Rhinolophus ferrumequinum: one gene and its partner. The protein of the gene in region 2 interacts with the protein of the main gene of each other region in a biochemical or structural test. Links are inferred from orthologs where the notes say so. Each region holds a gene or a part of one and is shown on either strand. Other genes may lie near its edges.

Region 1 (8,022 bases), on a different chromosome or scaffold from region 2:
CTGGGGGCATCTGGGAGACCAGCCCCCACAGAGACATGACCTGGTGTTTCGAGGGCATCTGGAGAAAGGAACAGGCCACTGAGAAGTGCCCAAAAAAGGTGGCCTATGTTCTGGGGGGGAGGGACCTCCTGTAGACAGCCCTCCCAGAGACCAACCCCCCACCACTCACAGCCAGACCACATCAAACTAGGGACATCTTTGGTCAGTGCCTGAGACAAGGGTATCCCTCAGTGGTAGACACAGGGGTGGGAAGAGGTGAGCTGCAGCCAGAGAGGTGGGGAGACAGGTGAGATCGGGCAGTAGGGAAAGCTCTGTGTGAGAAAGCAGGGGACGAGGGTTCCATCTGTAGACCTGGCTTTGGTACTGTGGGCAAGGAACCTCCCTCTGTGGGCCTCAGTCTTCTCATCTATAAAATATGAGGCTCGGATAAGTGCAGAACTTTCCAAACTTTTTAACGCAATAGACAATTTTAATCTGTGGAATCCCAATTATATAAAAGGTATAAAAATTGCAGTTTCTCTGTTGAAGGCAAGTATGGTAGGCCTTGAACGCTACTTCTTCTAATTGCCTCTCCCCACCTCCTGACCCCAAAGGTGTCCCTGAGAAACTCTTCAAAGTTCCAAGTCTCCAAGAGATAATTTGAAAACTAGCCGGCTAGATGATGAAGAAGAGGATGTAGGACAATAATAGCTACCGTTTACTAAGCACTTTCTATGTTAGTGCTCATTAGAGCCTCACAAAATTTTAAAAATATATAATTAACCCCTTTCATAGATGAAGAAACTGAGTCTCAAGGGGGTTCTCTAACTTGCCAAGGCCACTTAGCAAGCTAGTTGGAAATCAAGATTTGAATCTGAATGGGGATTAACCACCACATTGGACTGTTAGGATCCCTTCCAGATCCAAATCCCATCATCCTACGAGGAGTGCTGAGGGAGGAGAGTCGAAGAAGGGGTGACCCAGCAAAGGGGAAAGTAGAGAGAACTCAGCAAGAAGGTGAGAGAGAATGAAGAAAAAGTGGAGTTAAGCCTGGAGTGAAGAGCCTAGAAGAGGGGGAGAGGAAGCTAGAGGCTTGGCTAAAAGGCCAAGGACAGAGAAGAAAAGAGGGAGAGAGGAAAGGAGGAGATGGGAGTAGGGGAGAGGGTTGTGTCCCCATTTCTGGGTGGGTTGCAGGGTGGGGTGGGTAAACCAGTGGTTTCCCAGGGGTCTCTCAGTTCATGTTTCTCATAATGTCCCTCTCCCAGAGATGAGGGAGAGGAAGGGGTTGGAAACTCCCTGGGCAACCCCGAACCCAGTAACCCCAAATCCTCCTGTTGTGCTTTTAGCCTCTTCCGTCTCCCAGGACTTCCAAAAGGATGGAGAACAGAGGATCCCTTTCTCTGGAGACTCCTGCTTCAAGATCAACTCCCCCAGCCCCAGTCCTCCCCCCTCTTTTCTCCCAGCATTAGAATCCTCTTGCCCCTCCTCCCCAATCCCAGCACCACAACCCCAGCTCTTTTCTCCCAAAAGCAGAATCCTCCCCACTCCTGCTCAGGGTCCTCCAATACAACAGGCCTTTCTCTACCCCTTTTTTTTGGGGGGGAGGCACCTTTTGGTCTGTGTTTCAAATTCAAGGGAGGACTCCGTTCCTCTCTCCTCTCTTCCACTCTTGTTTCTCTTGATGCTCAGACCTTTGACCCTCTACCCTAACCCTATTGAGGACTGAGGCGATCCTTAAGCCATCGGCAACCCCCCTTTCTTCTATGTCTCCGTGTTGAGTGACCAGCCTTCTGGCCCGGCCCTAGCTTCAAATCTCCTCCCCCACTTCATCCTCAGACCTCAGGAGGCCACACTTTCCCCCATCCCCACCCAATAACGAGGCTGGGTCGATCGGCTCGCCAAAACAGGAGCATCACCTGCATAAAGGCCCCTAAAGACTAGAAGGGACACGAAGGAGCCACAACATGAGGGGGTGGGGCCAAGATTTCCTTCCCAACTGGGAAGAAAAGCACGACGTCCAGGGTACTCATCACCCACTTCGTGACCTAAACCTGATCACCTCAACCACTACATTCCCGAGTCCTCTGACCGTGGGACCACAGGATCAAAAGTCAAAAGAGCTTCTCTGAGTTGCCCAATGTGTATTTGTGGCGGTGGGGGCGGGGAGAGGGTGCAGGGAGGCGGAGCCAGTTCAGCACGAGGAGGGTTAACGCCGCGCCGCTGGGAAATCTCGGCGTCTACAGCAGCCAAGCGAGAAGCAATTTTGAGGGGGAAATTCCCCCTCCTCTGGGGCACCATGAGGTCTATATCTGGGGATCACTTATCCCCCAGTTCCTGAACAGGAACCTGGATAGGGGAACCAGACAGGAGTTTGTCAAAGACCCACTGCCCTCTGGCATCAACCTTCTAGGGAGGGGCAGCCACTTCCCCCCACACGCACTCAGCAGGCAGAGGGTCACCAGCTTGCCCTCTTTTACCAGTCTTTACTTGTCCTTGGAGGTTCCGGAGGCAGGGGTGTGGAAAAAGTGACCCATGAGGGGGAGGTGTGAGCACTGGGCCTGTACCCATCCCAGATTCCTCTGAGATTCGAAACTGCCCAAACCCGGTACCACCAGCTACCAACACCAGCTGAAACAATTTCTTGGGGACCATCCGCCCCGCCCAAGGAAGGATCCTGAGAGCCCCCCCACCCCGTTAATTAATTCACCCTCCCATACGCTGATAATCAGAGACCCCGACCCTCCCGTCATCGGCACCATCCCCTCACCTTGGTAACCCCTCTGCTGTCTTCTCCCTTTCTCAGCGGGCACTGCCAGGCCCCATGGGTCTGTAGCTCTGTCCAGCGAGTTCAGGGCTGGCCCTGCGAGCACCCGCCCTCCGCCATCACCACCAAAAAGAAAAAATACACACACACACACACACACACACACACACTCACACACACACACACACAAAATCTTCTCCCGTCCTTCCTCCTCAGTGTAAGCAGTGGCTGCCCCAGCCCGCTGTTTCCGGCTTCTCTGTCTACCCAGGTCCCTCCCTGGAGCTCTGACGACACAGAGAAGAGAAAGTAGGCTGGAGGAGGAAGAGGAAGAAAGTGGGGTGAGGATATGTGCCTCCTGTGCCGGGCGGGGGAGCCAGGACGGGGCTCAGGGTCCTGGGGCCAGGCTGGAGGGGAGGCTGATCCCCACTTACTCTGTTTTCTCAAAAGCGATAAACTTTCCTCCAGAAAGTCATCTATTATCAAGCAAAGACATGCGCCCCATACTGCCTCTCCCATACTCAAACTTTTGCAAGATCCCCTGGGATTTGGGCTCCGGAGTGACTGGGCTCCCCGTGGCCTCTGGGAAAGCAAATCCCTTTGGGCTCTGTGCTCCCTCCAGTGGAGGACCCTGAAAAGCAGCGGGAAGCTTGACGTCCTAAGGCCTAGGTCCCCCTCCCTTCTTGGCAGAGAAAGCTTTAGAGGTCGCGTGACCACTGAGGGGAGGGAGTGCGGGTCCCCAAGCTCAGAATTCTGCAAGACTCCAGGAGTGCCTCAGACTGACCGTCTCTGCCCCCTCCTCCCAGGGTGCTTGCTATTCCTCAGACCCCGGTTGGAGCCGGCACAAGCTGAAGTTGCTGCCTGCAGACTCCCCAGGGACAAGTTGGATTATGACTCTGCTGTACAGCCTTAGTGAAGTTCCTGTTTCTGGGGTAAACACTGAGTGAGACACACCCAGGAACACACATGCACAACTTTCCTGGCCACAAGAACACACACACACACACACACACACACACACATGCTTACACACGTGCGGGCAGGCTCATAGACATGTCAGCACTCAGAGCCATATGCAGTTACAAGAAGACACACGTACACAAGGCTTGCTCAGCTTCTGAGTCATCATCCATCATAACTAGTGGATGGTTTCTGCAGCTTTTGCTAGAGGAGGAGCTGAAGGAGGCCAAGGGACCCAGAGAGACCTTCACACTCCCAAACCTGAGAGAAGGTGTGTGGAAAGGGTGGGCTCTGGGGGAACTTGGGAGGTGGGAGGAGGTTTCCACCCCGGCTCTCACCCTGACAGGGCTGGGCTGAGGGGCCAAAGCTAGGCCTATGCTGCCCCCTGGTGCCTGAACTGATTCCCAGACCCCAGCTCCTCCCCTCCCACCCCACGTGGACGGGCATGTGTGCTCAGGAGTGCATGGGTGTCTGGCCCAGCCAGTCAACAGGGTACCAGTTAAGAACTGTTTGGGTTCAAATCCTGCCAACACTGCTAACTGCACAGCTCTGGGTGATTTACTCTGTGCTTCAGTTTTGTCATCTGTAAAATGGAACAAATAATAGTCTTAACTAATAAGGTTGTGAGAGTGAAATGTGATAATACACATGAAGGCTTAGAACAGTGCCTGGTACTAAACATTAGGCACTATTTTGATTTCCCAGAATAAACCAGACATGAGGAAGGCAACAGGGCTTCCATCCTACGTAGGGGTCCCTGGGTTCGGGGATATTAGCTCTACAAAGACAGAGCCTATTAGAGGTATGTGTGTTTATGTGTTTATTGTGTCTAAAAGGCAGTGAATTGAAGAGGAGGGAGAGCAGGGGTGGAGATGGCCAGCAGGGAATCTGTCTTAGGATCGATCACGGTGTATGCAGTTTGCATGTGCTCCCAGGTGCTCATGCTGCCTGCAGACATTCACAGACAGTGGCTGAATTCAGGTCCCAGCATCTAAGGGTCTTAGAAGGTCCAAGTTCCCCCAAACTTCGGCAAGAGGAGGGAAGGAGTGAATGCAGTCTCTAACTTTGCTTCATTTTGGGGGTAGGAAGATGAGGAACAAATACTAGTAGGAAAACAATAGTTTTTGTCATCCTCTCTAATTGATTGCACCAGTGGGGACACTGTGATGTCATGGAAAGAACTCAGAATTTAGAGGAAAATCTGGTTTGGGTCTAACTCCATTTTGTGTCAAACCCTCAAATGGAGACAATAACTACATCTTCTTTACATAGCCTAGACTAGGGTGCAAAATTTAAGGAAGCACTCATCTTCAGGTCGTGCAGTTGCAGGGTTGGCCAGACTTTCAGTCATGACACCCCTACTTGCACAATCCTGAGAATGAGTGCTTTCCTTGTTTCACTCTCCTCTGGGTCCTACCATCCCACCAAATGGCAATTAAGATTGCATGAGAGAAAACATGGGAAAAAAGAACTTTTGGGTCTGTGGACTGCAGCAAGCCAACTGAGTCATAAAATCGATTTGGTGAGTGTGTTAGTTTGCTAGGGCTGCCATAACAGAGGACCACAAGCGGCACGGCTTAAACAACAGAAACTTACTGTCTCACAGCTCTAGAGGCTAGAAGTCCAAGATCAAGGTATTGGCAGAGCAGGTCCCTTCTGAGGGCTGTGAAAGAGAATCTGTTCCAGGCCTCTCTCCTTGGTTTGTAGCTACCATCTTCATGTTTATATGGTGTTCTCTCTATGCAGGTCTGTCTCCAAATTTCCTCTTTTTTTCTAAGGACACCAGTCAGATTGGATTAGAGCACACCCTAATGACCTCATTTTAACTTGATTACGTCTGTAAAGACCCGATTTCCAAACAAGGTCATATCCGGAGGCACTGGGGGTACCTCATATGAATATGAATTTTTGAGGGACATAGGAATTCAATATATAATATGTGAATTTTCAAGAGACACATTTCAACCCGTAATAGGGAACCTTGACCATCACTTTTTTAAAACCAAGTAGAATAGAAAATACCAGTATGCATCACACAAAGTAAGGATGGGTAGTGTCTAATGAAACTTGTTTCAATTTTATATGTGTATCTGAGTTCTAGGTCTTGATGTAAGAGATACATTTTAGTGCAGGTTGAGATTTTTTAAAACGCATTTGGATGTAATCACTTTGCATTGCTTTTTAATTATTTTATGGGTATATCCTTCTTCTCTGAGTAGAACATAAGCTCCCGGAGGGCGGGGACTCATATCATTCTGCAAACACTGCTGTGTAACTAGAAAAGACAACATTCATTCTTGCTAGTAAATACAATGACCACCATTTACTGAATGTTTACTGTGTATCTGGCAATGGGCTAAATGTTTTACATACACTCTCTTATACAAGGACTAAACTTGGTGATGGATTGATAGCAAGAGTTCAGTACATTTCACAGACAAGAGGAGTGGGTGCCATGTTCAGGAGCCCTGGGCAGCAGGCTGGGATTTGGGGAGGATTGAGGGACAGAAGGAAAAGGTCACTGAAGAAGTGTAGGAAGCAGCGGTGGACCCCTAGTCAGTTCTGTGTCCCAGGCCTTTGCCATTGTCCCCAGATTTCCATCTTAATACTAGCTCACCACTTAGATTAAAGAGAGACCCTCCGCTGGAAACTTCCTAATTTCCTGCTCTCTACCAACAGACATATTCATCATCACCTGAGCCCTCCCTCAGGCTCAGAGAGAGGGTGTCTGTGTCCCTGCCCCTGCCCAACGTATGTTCTTCCACCTGTGCTCAGGACCCCTCCCTTCTGCTTCTCCAGGCACTGTTCTGTTCATTGTTCCCTGGATCCTCCAAATCTCCAACCTCTCATTCTCTAATTATTATAACTCTTTACCCTCAGCATATAAACATGTTCAAATCCCTCCCATCTTTGAAAAAACAAAATGAAACTGGTAGCAAGCAAACAAAACCAATCTGCCCAGAATCTATGCCCAGTTAATTTAACAAAAATTTGTTGGATATCTGTTCTCAGGCTCGTAAAGCTGAGAGGGGGAATCCAATTAGTTAACAATGATACTACAGGATAACGGGAGCTGTCATTCTAGTGAAGCACAAGGTACCGTGGAAGCATATAGGAGGGGAACCTAAACTAGGTAGAGGATAGGGGAGATCAGGGAGGTCTTCCTGGAGGAGGTGATGCCCAAACTGAACCTTGAAGGAAAAATAAGAGTTATTCAGTCAAGGAACAAGGGAAGCGTTAAACCAGGAAGAGGATCTAGCATGTGCAAAAGCATGGATACTGTGGGAGCATGGTACCTCTGGATATAGGTAGTAGTTTGGCAATGGGGAGCATTAGAGGATTTAGGGCAAGTGAGTAATATGATGATGTTTAGTAGGGATGGAGGATGGACTTAAAGTATAAGTCTGAAGCCAGGAGAACAGTTCATATGGAGGAGGAGACCACTTGGTGGAGTAGAGGTGAAGCAGTATGGAATCAAGTCTGGTTAGGAGGAGAAGTAAAGATATGAGGAGCCAATGCGTAAAGAAACAATAGAGTTAAGGAACTGGGAGTCTCAACAGGCCTAACGAACAGCCTTCTTGGGAGCGAGGGAGAGAAAAAGCTAGGGGCTGGAATGTTGTATTCAGAGACAAGGGGCTGAGATTTCAGTCCAGCTCTCCTGGCAGGGTGTGGTACAGGTTGTAGCTATTGGAGTAAGTGACTGTGGCAACATGGAGGTGAGTCATCAGAGTTGAGGAGGGCAAGGAACCAAGAGGCCAGGGTGCTGCTGGAGTACCTGCATGAACATTGAAGCCATCTGGCTTGCAAAAGACCTGGGGTGCACGGGGAGACAGTGAGTCAGATGTCAAAGTCTTCAAGGAATGTGGGCAAGTGACCAGGACATCAGTAGATGACAGCAAAATAACTAACGTCTAGTGAGGCTTTATGTGTTACTTCAATTCCTACTTTAAAAACATCTAAGTCCTGTACATTTTATCCTGCAACAATACTATGAGATAGAACTATGGATCTAACATGGTAGCTACTAACCATATGTGGCTATTTAATTTTAATTTAAAAATTCAATTCCTCAGATGCACGAGCCACATTTCAAATGCACGATAATCACATATGGCCAATGGCTACTATATTAGCACAGACATGGGATATTTCTATCATCACAGAAAGTTCTATTGGATAGTGCTGATAGCCCTCATTTTTACATATGAGGAAATTGCAGTGTGGAACGGTTAAGTAACCCACCCAAGGCCAAAAGGAAGGCAACTGAGCTGGGATTTGAATCCAGTTAGTTTGGTGCGAGCACTGCTGCCCTTAAGCTGCAC
Region 2 (7,422 bases):
ATGACAAGTCCAATTTCTTATAAGCCTGAAAGTGCATCATTCTTTGTGCCTAGGGAAAAGCTATGCATATAAGCTCTGCACTTTACAGAGTTCACAAACGAGTCCTGAACAGTCCATGTTCTGGGAATACTTAATGCTATATATAGCTCTGCAAAATTCTTTCATTGAAGAAACTCAGAGCACTTTGCAAATTAAATTAGGAATGTGTATGCAGCTCTGTAAGAAAACATCCAGGTTTGTGTGTCCTATTACAATTACCAAAGAATTTACCACTTTACAAAGAAAGTTCAACTCAATTGATTTAAATTTGGTGTGCAGTGATAACATTTAGCACATAATTGTATTTCCAGAGTATTCCATCTTACCTCCTCTGTATAAGTAGCTTTAAAGTTAAATTTTTTCAGAGGATTAAATATTCGAGTGTAGTGGCTGAGAACAGCACCCATTTCCTCCAGTTTCCTCAAAATGAATATAGCTTCATGAAGAAGAATGAAGTGAAGACCAGTGGTTAGTTCAGTGGCTTTATAACAATGCAGCTTTTCTTAGTCTGAATTTACCATAACCAAAAAGGCCACTAGTTGCCATTAATTGTTCTAAGTTGGAGCAGAAAAAATAAAATTGTTTAGGGTTGGAAGACAGTTCCATGGTTACCTGCTGCCAATCTTCGCTTCACAGACGAGAAGAATGCATCTCACCCCCGTTGACTTGACCAATAAGTGCCAGACTAGAGCTAAAGTGCCACCTCTAGGCTGACAGGCCTGCACTCGAGCTGATTCTGAAATATGAATGCAACAAGCCACCAAATTGATCAGAAGGTGTCCGTGGACAAGGCATTTTTACCTCAATGGACCTCTTTGAATCGCTTTCCCTATCGGTACAATGGGGCTGAATATAGTCTGCCCTGCCACCAGGCAGATTTCGTTGGGAGATCAAATGAAATAGTCTCTGAAACTTCCCTAAATATCGAAGCAGAACGTGATGATTATAATCGTACTTGTTGAACACTTAGGATGTGCCAGGCATTATGCTAAGCATCATTTCATTATCACAGCACAAAAGGAGGCAAAAAAGTCATTACCTTCATTGTCCATGGGAAGGTAAGATTTTGGTTAAATAATTCATCCAAGATCTCACAGATTTGAACAAGGTCTAGCTGACCCTCATACCCGAACATTTAATTATGAATAATGCCATAGAATAATAATACTATAATACAATACTATAATATTATATAATAATATAATACTATGTATATCATATATTACTATAGCATACTAATACTATACTAGTACTATATTACTATATTACTATGCTACTATAGTGTACAGTATAGTAATATATTGCATATTATTATACTATTACATAGTATGTTACTATTTATATAATAAAATAATAATACAAGAATAGTTTAATAACACTGTCGTATGAGATGCCATGATCGTGGTAATAAATAACATTTCACACATATACAACCAAAGAGCATTAGAGAAGATATTTATCCTATATGAACTATATCATATCAACAAAATGTTTTTAGTATTTTCCTAATTTTTAACAAGTAATTAAAAAGTGATTGCCCTTCATACTTTTTGAAGGATATAGTTTTCATTGGTTTTGATTAATCATGGCTCTCTCTCTTTTTAGAGAACGAATTAGTGAGAAAATAGTTTTACCTGAAACATGGTTTTATAATTTACTTTTTGTCTACTATGGGTTTTTCTAAAATATATTTTCTTGCATGTGAATGTATAATTTTAAAAGCTTTAGTTTTAAAATAATGAATTTAGGTAAATTCAGCTTTTCTTACAGTCTCTGTGATAAATGGGACTTGAAAATTGCAATACTCCATTCCGATTGAACTCCATCTACAACAGCACTGCAGCATCGGACAATTCACTGAAATAATCTCCTCACAGAATACCATGTCTTTGTTTTGGATAGACGTTCAATTAACTGACTTCCTATTTGTTTTCACTTTTTAACAACTTGTGACACTTGACAATAAATGTCTAGTCTTTTACTGATGAAAACTTTGATTTTCTCAAATGTGTGGCGACACGGTCAACTTTAGAAACTTGTCATTTTTGTTTCCACTATGACTACGGCGTAAAAGTCTGACGAGCACCCGGCAGTGCACACCAATTCCCTGCCTCCTTCTCCCCAGGGGTAATGAGGACGGAAAGGGTTTCAGTGATTACAAATGTTATTTTTTATAGTCACCTCATCATAAAAAAAATCACTTCTAGTAGATCAATAAGACAAATGAGTAAACCAGAAGATGGCGTTGAAGATTAGCAATCACATTTTAAAACAAGATAGACTGCTAAAGTCTCAAAAGTTTCATACAATGACTGTTGTTTTGAACTTCTAAAAGTAGATGAGTGAGGAAAATGTTGAAACTAAACCTGGTGCAGAGGACATGTGTACGAAAGTGTGAAAAGCTCTAGTTTGCTATTTTTGTCATTAGCAATCTCCTTCTGTCTATTGTTTGTGAACAATTTGGAGAAAAAAAACAATTCACTGATTAAAATGTAATGCAACATGAAGGCAGCATTCTTCGTTTTGTTTACTGAAGTATTCCAAGTTCCTAGAACAGTTCCTGTCAAGTAAAGTAGTAGGTGCTCAAAACACATTTGCTGAATGAATGAATCTGTGAAAGGACAAGAAAGGAAGAAGAGGTTATGACCAGAATTTTCTTTGAACAAAACCCTGTTGTTTATTGCATAGAATCTCATAATGGAAAACTTACTTGGTTGAATAAAAATATGGCATCCTGTTAATTTCTGAGAAAGTTCATTCGTTTTAGGAAAAGTGTACCTGATTTGTGTCTAACTGACTGTTTTTGCTTTAGCCTAAACTTAGTGTTTTCTTTGGGTAGGTGACACTGACCCATATGAGATTAAAAGAAAAACTGAGAAATAAGTGAAATCAAAAGCTTTACAAAAGTTGCGAGTTGACCTGGGGTGACGCTAGTCTAAAATCATATAGAAACCGGTGATCTGATGGTTTACCTGAAATTGCTAAATACATAAACATGCAGGGAGTATCCGAGATGCTCTGGTGAAAGTTTAGTGAGCAGGTGTTCAGGTAATTATTTTGATATTAAGGACATCTTGGGGAATTAAGTAACATTTCTGGTCTGCCTAAATATTCCTATTCTGGACATTTATATTCCACTAGTAAGCTGCTTCCTACCAGGATGAGGTTAAAACTACGTCATTCTAAAGTGAACTGAAGTCCAGAAGCAATTAAGTACTTGGATACTTCGGGATCCCTTCCCCAACTCTTTCATGTTGCTGCAATTGAAACTTTGGGGGCTACGCATTGTCTGAGTCACCTCAATTCACCAATTTAACAGATGCAAAAGTATGTAAGCATTTCAAACACATAAACAGTATTTGAACCAGTTTTATACCTCAAGGGATCTGGGCCATTTCCTCTTTTCTTTTTAATGAGTAGATAGATGCTGTCTAAACATTGCAGAGGGCAGGTTCATGAGGACGGCGATGGGGCCAAGGTTCCCCCACCCCCACACTGCAGTAAGGACAATTCCTCCGTCTTTGCTTCTGTGCTCTGCAAGCGAAGTCCCCTTCGCATCAGATTCCGGCTACTGCACGCCGCCCCTCCACCCCCACTTCCCGCGCTAACCACAGAGCAGTCGTTTTGTCGTATTAGTTATCGACTAGCCTCCCGCAGGTCCTGGCGCAGAAGCTAGGTCCCCATTTCGCGCCTTGCCTTTCGCAGGAAACCACCGCCAGTGAGGGTCGCGGAGGCCGAGCGCTCCCGACTCGAGGAACACTCGCCTGCGGCGGCACCAGCCGGGTGGCGGAGGATGCCGGATGCCGGAGTTCCCAGCCTGACCACCGCACACCGGCGGGTTCCTCGGAGCCCGCGCCCCGGGACTCGCCCGCGGGGCGCTCCACCCGCTGCTCGCAGCGAAACAGAGACAGTGAGAAAGTGAGAGAGACAGAAAAACAGACTGACTGAAGCACACTCATGGACGCTCTCAGAAAGAGACACATAGAGAGACATGTTGATCAAAGGAGGCCGGGGTGCCCTCCCCGCCCCCCGCGGGCACAACCCTCCCGGCCCCGCCCCGCCCCAGGCTCCGCCTCCAGCGCGGCTTTTAAGCTCTATAAAGTTCCTCTTTCCCACCTCGGTGTCTCAGTTTCACCGCTTGAACTTGGGACCCACCGCTGCCCTCAGCTCCGAGGCCCAGGCAAGGTAAGATCTGAGACCCCACAGGAGCACACATGTGAGGCTGGCAACACAGGGAACCCGGACGGCTAGACCAGCGGTCCCGAGGACCATCTCGAGGGCAGCGCAGGGACCCCAGCTTCAGAGCTGTGAGGGAGCACGCCCCTTGAGGGCGCCCGGACTCCCACCCCGTCTGTTCAGGGCCCGAAACCTTTGTGCGGGCTCTGTGGAGGGCCCGGGATCACAGCTCGAGCATCTCCACCGGCTTTCCCCGGCTCCGGTATCCCCACCACTCTGTGGGTCTGCCCAGTGCTCGCTGGGGGATGGGATGGGGGAGGCGCGAGAGGGCACGCGCTGGACCAGATGGGAGAATGGGGCTGTCAGGGCCTCAGGAGTGGCCGAGACGGGGCAGTCGAAGGGACTCACACTGGACCGCGGGCTTTCCCGCAGGGGACATCCGCTCACTCCCGAGGCTCCTTCTCGGGCTCCTGGTTCATAAGGGGCCCAAACTCACCGCCGCCGCTGGCGCGTGGCTCCCTGGCTGATGGTGGAGAAGGAGGAGCTCCAAATTTGGGGCACTCGGGGCCTGGGCTCTGCTGCCTCAACCCCAGCCCTCCGCGGTCCCACGCCCTCCCGGCACCCTCCCCTGTCTCAGCCCTCTCTCACGGGCCTCCAGGGTCCTGCTGAAGCTCGGCGCGCCGCACTCTCCCGCTACTTGGCTGCTGCGCTCCTCGCCAAGGGCCGGGTCTCTGCCGCTTATTGCTGCCACTTGATCCTTGCTAGCTGGTGCGGGCTCAGGGGTATTCTGGGGACAAAGACTGAGGGTGCGGGAGAGGATTTGCTGGGTGCTGAGCATCTGGGACGCCCCGACTGCAGACGAACCCACGTGAGATTGGCGCCCGGGGAGGCCACCAAGAGAGTGTGAATTGGGGAGTGGGCAAGAGTGGAAACTGACAGTGAAGGGGGAAACGGACTGGCAACAGCTTGGGGATGGGCAAAAAGGAGTGGGTGCTACGAATGAGTATGCAAACGGAGTGCCAAGAGTGGGGGCACTGTGGCTGGGTGTGGGAGTGCGCGCAAAGGCGACAGTTGTGAGTCTGGGCTGTGGGGTGCGTGGCAAAGGAGAGTCCAGAAAGTGGAGTAGGAAGATCCACTCCGCGCAGGGCACGCTCTCCCGAGGCGTCAGGATTGTGCGCGCCAAGAGATGAGCACCGCCCGCGGGGAAGGTGTCTCAGCTCAGGAACCTTGGATGACACAGACTCGGTAGCGCGCCTCGCTGCCTCGGAGACTCCGAGGCCTCGTGGTCCTTGCCAGAGCTGCCTGGGACAGGATGCCCCAAGCCCCGTGCCGCGGTGGCTCAAGGGCGGCCCTGCTGTCCCCCGCAGCGCAGAGCCAGTGAGTGCAGGAGGCGGGTCCTGGGCGCGAGAGAGCGGCAGTCGGCGCGCTGGGCATGAACCTGGAGGGCGGTGGCGGCCGAGGCGGAGAGTTCGGCATGAGCTCAGTCAGCTGCGGCAACGGGAAACTCCGCCAGTGGCTGATCGACCAGATCGACAGCGGCAAGTACCCCGGGCTGGTGTGGGAGAACGAGGAGAAGAGCATCTTCCGCATCCCCTGGAAGCACGCGGGCAAGCAGGACTACAACCGCGAGGAGGACGCCGCCCTCTTCAAGGTGACTCACACGTGGGGAGCCCGGGACTGGATTGGGGGAGGGCCCCAGAGACCCCGGCGGGGCCCGAACCGTGACCCGGCGTCCGGCCCAGTCCGCGCCCCGCGCCCGGCCATTCTCATAGGAAAGGGGACAGCACGGGACCGGCGGGATGGCGTGGGCCCAGCAGGGCGGGCTTCCCGGGAGCATCAGGGGGCCGTCAGCCGAAGCTATGGGAGAGTTTCCACTTCTCTCGTGATTTCACAAACGGAAGATCGAGTCCCGATCCTGAACGGGTGCCGTGAGCAGCACCCAGAGTCCGAAGTGCCCGTAGAGGGCGTCGGTCCCAGGACGCCGGCTTCAGTGTCCTTGGTTGCATTTCTGTGGGTTCCTCTGTTTCCATCGGAGCCTCTTTCCTTGCCTGTGGATCCTTCCCGGCCTCCTTTGATCAACATGTCTCTCGCTGTCTCTTTCTGTGAGCGTCCATGAGTGTGCTTCAGTCAGTCTGTTTTTCTGTCTCTCTCACTTTCTCACTGTCTCTGTTTTGCTATTTTTCTCTAGGGTTTTCTCTCTCTACATATACATATACATATACATATACATATACATATACATATACATATACATATACATATATATGTTTTAATATATATTTATATATATTTTATTTTTTTCCTTTGGTTCAGTCTCTTTTTGGTGTGCCTGCTCTCTTGCCCCAGCTCTCTTTGGGACCTTCCATCTGTATTTCTCCGGCTCTATTTCTCTGTCTCTGTCTGACTCCGTCTTTCCAAGTCTCTCTCTGGAAAATTTTCCTTCCTTCCTTCCTTCCTTCCTTCCTTCCTTCCTTCCTTCCTTCCTTCCTTCCTTCCACTTTTTCTTCCTTTCTTCCTTTCTCTCTCTCTCTCTCCCTCCCTCCTTCCCTTCTTCCCACCCACTCTTTTGGGTTTCTCTCTTTTTCTTTCTCCTCCTCTACCTCTCTCCCTCTTAGGATCTCTATTTTGAGCCTCTCTCCAGACCTTTCTCTCTTTTCCTGTGTGAGCCTGTCATGATTGTTTTCCCCTAAAGCAGTTTACCCAGTGACCGGTGCCCAGCCCCACCACCTGTGGGCAGGACAGGCAAAGGGGACTCCCTCAGGGATTTGCATTCAGAACACCTCAGACAGTCTGACAGCTCAGATGTACTCTGTGGGCAGCAGTTCATCCCACAGCCCGCTGCCTAGCTCCAAGCAAACCATTTCAGAAACTGGGTGGCAGGCCTTTGCCAGGGGTCCTCCACATCTTACCCACCTTTTACAGATACTCAGGGAATGTTTAAACCACTTCTCTTCAACGCAGCCATGATAGAGACCAAGGTGAGAGTATTTTACATAGAAGACACCTACTATATTTTTGGCCTACATTTTGAGCAGCAGATTAAATTTGAAGCACCTAAACACCATTATTTTCTTTAGAAATACAATCGCCAGATTCTTTTTTAAAAGACTTATATTTTTAACTTTTCCCCTCTTCTTTCTTACTAGGCTTGGGCTCTATTTAAAGGAAAGTTCCGAGAAGGCATTGACAAGCCAGATCCACCGACCT

What was found.
Region 1: the proteins of IRF4 (region 2) and STAT6 form a complex in vitro, tested with the Homo sapiens proteins (2 studies listed by BioGRID). The link is inferred for Rhinolophus ferrumequinum from reciprocal best matches to the Homo sapiens genes IRF4 and STAT6.

Annotation. Positions count from the first base shown.
Region 1 is NC_046293.1:56,162,838-56,170,859, forward strand, and holds the start of STAT6 (signal transducer and activator of transcription 6), read right to left. Parts: upstream 3,037-8,022; 5' UTR 2,747-3,036; intron 407-2,746; 5' UTR 352-406; intron 59-351; coding exon 1-58. UniProt on the Homo sapiens protein: Carries out a dual function: signal transduction and activation of transcription. Involved in IL4/interleukin-4- and IL3/interleukin-3-mediated signaling.
Region 2 is NC_046292.1:93,936,743-93,944,164, reverse strand, and holds the start of IRF4 (interferon regulatory factor 4), read left to right. Parts: upstream 1-4,163; 5' UTR 4,164-4,224; intron 4,225-5,582; 5' UTR 5,583-5,647; coding exon 5,648-5,866; intron 5,867-7,361; coding exon 7,362-7,422. UniProt on the Homo sapiens protein: Transcriptional activator. Binds to the interferon-stimulated response element (ISRE) of the MHC class I promoter. Binds the immunoglobulin lambda light chain enhancer, together with PU.1.